Drosophila melanogaster: one gene and its partner. Changing the gene in region 2 together with the main gene of any one other region gives a genetic interaction. Each region holds a gene or a part of one and is shown on either strand. Other genes may lie near its edges. The genes, in order: SPARC and Klf15.

Region 1 (3,933 bases), on a different chromosome or scaffold from region 2:
CAGCCGGGCTCGCCGCTGTCGCACCAGCAGCGCTGCTGATACACAGAGCAGTCCGACGGCCAGGTCTCGTTGGTATTGGTGCAGACCAGGCGGCGAGTGTCCACCTCCTCCGGGCACTCCGGAATGCACACGCATTTGGGCTTCTCGTCGTGCATCTGGCAGATGCGACCGGCTCCGCAGCTCATCGTTTCGCACAGATCCACCTCGACAACGGGATTGAGTAGATTGTGCTGCACTTCGGCCAGCTTGGTGGCAATCTCATTCTCGCGCTCAATATCCTTGATCTGCGAATGGAATTCAGTTAGTGCATTAAGTGTGATTTGTGGTTTGACTTGCGGCCACATGCCTTGTTCTTCTCCTCCAGCAGGCGCAGGAACTCCTCTTCGTTCTCATCGATGTCGGACAGGTCGAGGTCCTCATCCAGCAGATCTTCGGAAAACTCCGTAGAGGCCTGGACGTGGCTCACAGCCAGCAGGCCCAAGCCGAGCAGCAGCCAAAGGGAGCGCATCTCGAATGGCGATCTCAACTACAGGGATTGCAAGTAAAGCATCTTTAAAACACCTTTTTCTTCTCTTTATATTTAAACTATATATTTGGAACTAAAAGTGCCTTTATAAATAGAGTACATTATCAAGTCATTGCGATTGTGAAAACCCAAATTACATTGAGATTAGCTGTGGCCCTGGCCCAACTTCCGTTTCAAGGATTGGTTTGCGACTGTACCGTGTGCGCTGCGTCGTTACTGTACTCCACTGGCGATCTTGTAACCACCAAACAACGGGGTGGTTTTACATGCACATCTCGTGCGGCGTCTTTTTGCTCATTGAAAACAATTGAAGAAGCCGCAAAAATCTTGCAGGGTTCAAAAGGTCAACGCGAATGTGGCGCGCAGATACAGATGCATTTCCTTTTATGGGCAATTTTATTTATGGATCTTTAGATCTTGTGGAACAACAAAGCCAACTCATTGATGGCGGAAGATGACTACTGCAGATCTGGAGTTTTTAAAATAGAAACAAAGTCGGGGGAATGGATAAAATCTCAGAATTTTCAATGTTTGCTTTTCATTTCCTGCTGCCTGCTGCAAATAAGCATTTTTCTCGCTTTTTGCAACCGCAAATTTGAAATATGTTTGAATATTTCAGAATTTGGGGCATGTTGAACACATGTTGAGCAGTTCAAATCGTTTATGAAATCATCTATATATGCAGATGCTCCCATTAATGCGAATATACCTGATTAAAGCTGACCTTAATCCTATTGCTAAACACACACACAGGCTAAACTCAAGCCGAATTTTCGTAATCATTTCAAGATGTCGCCCCAGTTCTATGCTCAATCTTAGTACATGTGCTATATGGCATATATGGCACATCATTGGTTGCCCAACGACACAGTTGGCTTATCAGGTTCCAGCCCGACTTGGCCCCACCGCCGCTTATCAGGATCGGTCGGTCGCTTCCGTTTTGGGTAGCACAAGCAAGATGTGCTTAATCGTCGCTTTTGTGCCGCTGAACATCAAGTCAAATGCGCAGCTATGTATCTGGCAATTGAGAAATGTATACGCGATCTCGCGGAATGGAGCTTCCAGGAATATCCGAGAGTGGGATGCTGCTGCAGTGCATTCCACATGTTGCACACATATATATCTATGTATACAATGCAATATATACTTCCACATGTGTTTGTTTAATTATGCCGACGAAACTAGAAACAATGACGTGATGCAGTGTCCAAGATGCAATGTTTATGCATCGCGAATGAAAGTGGACCAAAAGCAGATACAATCTACTTGAATTGGCGGAAGTGCAATTCACAGTTGACCTTGCAAATCACTGGACTTACTTTTGCTTCTCAGTTCTGACCAATTAACGAACTGATTTCATCGAAAATAAAGTCCAATTGATTGACTATTTGCCAATGAGCAAGGAACATTGAACTTGAGCAACTCGAGCCAGAGCTGAGCTTGCAGAAATTTGAGGAACAAGCAAAGTATCTGTATCTGCATATGTCACACACTTGTTTTGTTAATCCGATTACGACACTCAATCCTTTGTTTCACTCTGCGTGAGTACTCACTGTGCGTTCAATGAAAAAGTGTTTCCCTTCAAATGTCTAATCGCGTTGGCGGATGGCAGGCGACTGTTTGCCTGTGGAAAAGCTTCGGAATGATTACGGATCGCCAAAGTGGAGCATGGAGCACTGCCTGCCCATGGTTTTGGTGTCGCCTCCAACGTGTTGGCTCCCAACATGTTCGCTTGGAATAAAAACACTGATTGCTTCGATTTTGGCAGCTCTTTTTTATTGGTTTCTTGCTTTTCAACACATAAAATAAATCGTGTCCTCTTCTACGTACCTCATAGTTTATGGGAAACTTGAGCCTTGGTCTTTTGAAATAGGCCACTCCAGCGTTGCTCCGGGGGTTTATTTTTTTTTTGGAAAAGAAATAGGTTGTTTGCTTAGAAAAGCGTAATAAAGATTCGATAACAAGATACACATAAGTTAGAAACTTAAGAGCACTTATAAAAACTCTAGTTTATCCTAGATGAGATCCGTTACTAACTTACCTTACGAATTAACTTTGTCTCAAGAGTATTTTGTAGAGTAGAGTATGTTTAAAATTAGAGCGATATTTGTTTGTATCTAGAATGGCATAACGGTAACTAAATATAGTTTATGCTATCGCTAAAGAGAAAGAGACTTACATATCGTCAGCTAAAACAAATACATAGTGTTGTTTTTAATTTGTATTTATTTAAAATAAATATGCGTATGGGTTTTCATAGAGTTCGGTTAAGTGATAAATTGTATCTCGATAATGCAGCATAACGAATCTTGCAAATTGTGGACTAGACCTCTCTTATTTCAGTACTGCATTATATATAAAGATCAATTCAAAGCCCTTGGCGTGCACAACAGCTTAATAATAGGAGAGAGTCGAGAATAAATCGTAAGTCTAGTTAATCCGAAAGCATATACATTTTCTTCGCATTTTTTTCGGGTATATACACTTCTTTGAGTTCGTCATGATATACAAATAAGAAGAGATATATGTAGTATATGAATTAACATCGTGGGCGACGAGATAAGAAACCTTTAACATTAATACAGTATATAAGTGTCCGATTCTTGCTTCTTGTAAAAATTGACATTTGTTTTGATATCATCTCTTGTGTACATTAATAGTTAAGGCCACGCCCGCCAGCCCTGCGTATGATTTGATTTGATTTGGGATCCGACTTCGCTCCGGATTCTTATATTCTTGTTTCTTGTTTCTTGTGTTTTTTTTGTTTGGACGTATCTTCTTATTTGAATGGTTTAGGTAATACATAGGCATCTACGATTAAACTACTTGTTTTGGGCCAATAAGCTCAGGCTACAGCTCCGTGATTTATGTCTAATTAATTGATCTTGATTGGCAATTGTTCTTCCATCCTCCACCATTGCACAATCCTTCTTCTTGTTTTACAGATAGAGAGAGAGGTTTAGATTTAAATAGAGAGCCTGTTGTAATTTCGTATCGTATTTTGGGCATTCTTCTACGATACAGAGTTTCATAATTATGTCTAGAGTAATTCGAACTGGAGAAGTGCTCGCTCCTCGCAATACGTTGTATAAAATAGTTATATATAGTCTGCCATAGCTTAGGTCAATCGTAGGGTAATCAATGGTATAGCTTAAGTGTACAGTAAAATCGTAGTTAGTTGTCCTATGATAGAGAGACAATGCGTTAAGTTTCCTGCTTAGTAACTCTAAGCGAGTGTGGCCTAGCTTATGAACGAGCTTACTAAAGAGTGTCTTGATTCTTGAGCTTTAGCCGCCCAAAGAGCATCTAAATCAAAGAGAATTTTAGACATTAGTAATTACACATAAACAAGTACTTCAGACGTAGTGCATCAATGGCGAGTAATATATGCGTATATGGATATATTC
Region 2 (3,851 bases):
GTGCTGGCAGCTGACATAGATGGTTCAGTGTAAGTTTCGTTTGTTTTTCGGGCTCGGTACTGGAGAGGCCAATTAGTCTGAGTGGCTTATTTCGGTCCATATTTCTCGAATTGTGTTGAATGTTTTAAGTATATAAATATAATGTACGCTAATAAATTTTTTGAAGCTATGCAAACGGCCTACTGTTGTTGAAACATCACTGCTTAGTTGGATATAATTGCTCTGCCGCGTAAAATTAGCCTTTTTCATTATATTAATAAATTCGATTTAACTTTTGTAATGAATTAACTTCATGCGTGTAACCCTTTTTCTTTTTATTAAATCATATGCTCCTTTACTCTGCTAAATGAGTTTATCAATGGTTTATGATTTCCGTATTTAAATCAGCAAACACATTTCATTTATGTAAAACAGAGCAGCAAGTAATTATTACCATCAATATTCCCATTCGAAATAAAACTCTTGATAATTTTCCTAACAAAAGAAGGAATACTTCAGCTCTATTTTATGGATATGTTTCCCATGCGAACTAATCTTAAGTGATAAAAAAAAAAAAAATAGTACAAAACGTTAAAACTAACTCATCCATCGTGTCCTTGGAATGTGGTCATAACTGATTCTTTCGCTTTCGACCTGGTCGCACGGCATACAGATCGTCGGAGATCAGGGATCTGCCAGCTCTGGAGGCGGCCAGAAGACGTCTTTCGTGCACCTTACGATGCTTGGTGAGGTGATCCGACCTGGCGAAGCACTTGGAACAGTAGTCACATTTGTACGGCTTCACGCCGGAATGGGAGCGCTTGTGGCGGGCCAGTTCATCGGATCGGGAGAACCGCCAGACGCAATCTGGCCAACTGCAGACGTAGGGCTTCTCGCCTAGATGCCGCCTCAAATGGGCCTTCAGATGCGCGGGCTTGGCGTAGATCTTTTCGCAATTGCCAAAGGTGCACAGGTAACCCCGTTCGCCGGCGGCATTTTCACTCATCTGGAGGGCAGAAGGTGGGGCAACAGCTTCAGCTGGACTGGCGGAATCACTGCTGCCGGGCGAGGAAGACGATCGATCGGGAACGAAAATCTCTGAATGTGGTGGCCCCGACAGCCGCAGATTGCTGTTGCTCTCCTCCAGAAAGTCCGCACAGTTATCCGTGCACAGGGGAGTTCGTTCCGGCAGAAAGTCCACCAGGTCCGGAATCTCTACGTAGTTATCCAGCAGTCGCTGCTCCCAATCACTTAAGTCCGGCGGACATACGGTCAGGTCATTGAAGTCGATGAACAATGAAGGATCCTCCACGTGGGGCAGACCCACCTGGATATTCCCATTAGTATTTGTATTATTATTACTGTCCAATGTGATGATGCCATAATAATCCGACTCCTCGAATTCCAGCTGATTATAGTTGCCACCGGAAAAGCTAGTATCCACATAGGTGCTATCGAATTCCCCAACACTGACTATATTTAGCAGCGCATCGCCGCCGGCCAGTGGCTCCTCTTCCAAGTCGCTGTAAAGCTGCTGGAATCCACCCGTCGCAAAGAAGTCCATGATCGCAAATGAGCGGACTCCAGTCGAGTGTCCAAATATTTATAATATCCACGGACAATCCGGATGAGTGACAGGCGTCGGAAAAGTTGATGAGAGCCATTGAATCTGGTTGGGAATCGCAGGGCATATACCCTAAGTACTTAAAATCATATTGATATGTCATGAAAAGAATGTTTACTTAAATTGTTTCTTTTACAAGTACAATAGTATAGCATACCCTGCGATCTGCCTAGAACAATGGGTATCAAGAGATGCACTCATTGCGATCGTGGCTCGATTGCTTCCAGTGATTGGTGGCCAGGATCCCTTGGGGAATAATTAGCCGGCGAGCAACGTATCTAACGCGCTGCCGGCTTCATTAGTCCGAGACTGAGATAAAGATACATCCATACGTACGTACATATCCATTCGCACCAGATGTTGCGCGCATTGATCGGCGACACATGTGCCCGGGTTTTTGGTGGCCGGGTCCGGGAATCCGCAATGCTATCGAAATCGCTGACGGATGCCGAGTGCCAAGCAGTGTCAGGCCACAGATCGGCTAGCTATATTGCTATATATGTATAGCCGCGCGGCACCTGATCTCCCGCTTTCAGTGCGCCATCTCGCTCTTTTGTTTTTGTTTTGCTCGCCGGACAATCAATACAAATTTGTTATTAATTAATGATTATTACTAGCGAACTAGATATGCCCGGGGGATGGATATGGATATTCCCGGTCGATCATCAGTGTTTCGGTTCCAAGCAAAACAAGTGCGTTTCCTATGTGTGTCAAGTGGAGCCGCAGATATGGTTTTAAATTCACGGAAAGTTATCTGTTTGAAAATATTTTTCTGTTCGAAAATCATTTGGCTTGGCAACGGTCCATTTGCAGCATATGGTCAGTTGGAAAAGGTTGATAGCTAGTCATTTTTTTTTTTTTTTGACAACTCATTTCGTTCATATTTAATACAGACAGTGGTGTGCAATTTACAATTCACTTAAAGTGCATTGTAATGCGCAAGAATGCAGCATTAAAATGTGACCCTGCACGAGCTGTAATATAGTATTCCACCCATTTGCCTTCAACTAGACCCACCCGCCCCCTCGAACGTCTCATTTTCCGAGGCTGTCTGTGCCAGTTTCCAGTTTCCCTTAGCTTTTGCTCCTCGTCTATGCCATTTCCGCATCCTTTTTGGCTGGCAGCCCTTCGGAAATTAACATAAATTTAACGTGCGGCTGGCGTTTAAATTTACTTTCGCCTAATGAAATAATCAGCAGCTGTAAATCCTCATGGGCTGGTATGCCCCCCAACCCACCAATCACGACCAGTTTCACCAGTTTTTGGCGGCCTACGCGTTTTACGCTAATTGATATTGCAAAAATCAAAGGCTGCGCGCCGGCATTAAAGGGATTTAAAGGATATCAACTGGTCTGCGGGTCTGGGACTCGGGACTTGGGATTCTGTATTCCGGATACCGGATTCTGTATTCTCAATTGTGGAGTCTGGCTGTGAGTTCGACTCTGGCACTTTGTAATTACAGCAGGGTATTGCGACTCTGATTTCTGTATATGTGCATAGAATTTCCCTTTGTGTGGCCTCAGTGGAGTGGCAAGGATAACATAAATTAGAATGCTGCCTGCAGGCAGTTCTGGTATTTAGCCGTAGTGCCTGGTCGTCCACTTACTTACAGATTCGTAGGCCAATACAAACATGCACCGGTGGAAACAGGTAGCAGGACATAAAAAGATATATAACTTCGATTGTAAATAAGGTTCGCCTTTGAAACCATTTTGCAGCATATTAATTAAATTCCGAAATATTTGAAATCAAGTGGTTTTTAGATGAGGTTAGTCCGCCCAGCAATTGCAAAAAGGAATTTTCCTGCAGTGTTTTGGGAATGTGTAACCACATCTATCTATCCATCTATCTGCAAATAAATTTCTCCGTTCAAATGTGTGCGTGTGTGTCTGTGTGTGTGCGCACCGCAAGTGTCATAACGGAAATTATGCATACAATTTTACTGTAAATTGCACTCGGCAAAATGTTGTCACCTCAGTTTAATCATAGCACCCAGAACTCGAAACTCCCACTCATTTAAGCCGGACATTTTGAAGCCGTTTGCAAGTATTTACGAAGCAAATCCGAGGACTTAAAGCCGACAACCGGACGATATTATTGCCAAAGTGTCCTCGTTGTCCTGGCAGCAGTCAAATGAGCTAAGCAGTTGTCAGGATATACAAAGTAAGTACATCCATATAGAAGGGGCATACAGATGAAGAAGGGTCACTGCGTCGGTTGCCTAGTAAGTCCGACTTGCCCTTATCAA

The links.
Region 1: of Klf15 (region 2) and SPARC, changing one suppresses a phenotype caused by changing the other (phenotypic suppression), as found in Drosophila melanogaster (one study listed by BioGRID).

The regions. Positions count from the first base shown.
Region 1 is NT_033777.3:26,869,847-26,873,779, forward strand, and holds the start of SPARC (secreted protein, acidic, cysteine-rich), read right to left. Parts: upstream 2,150-3,933; 5' UTR 2,080-2,149; intron 722-2,079; exon of another isoform or gene 664-721; intron 527-663; 5' UTR 509-526; coding exon 347-508; intron 285-346; coding exon 1-284.
Region 2 is NC_004354.4:4,769,975-4,773,825, forward strand, and holds Klf15 (Kruppel-like factor 15), read right to left. Parts: upstream 1,615-3,851; 5' UTR 1,544-1,614; coding exon 608-1,543; 3' UTR 583-607; downstream 1-582. Other genes in the region: CG15472 (uncharacterized protein), read right to left, coding at 1-100.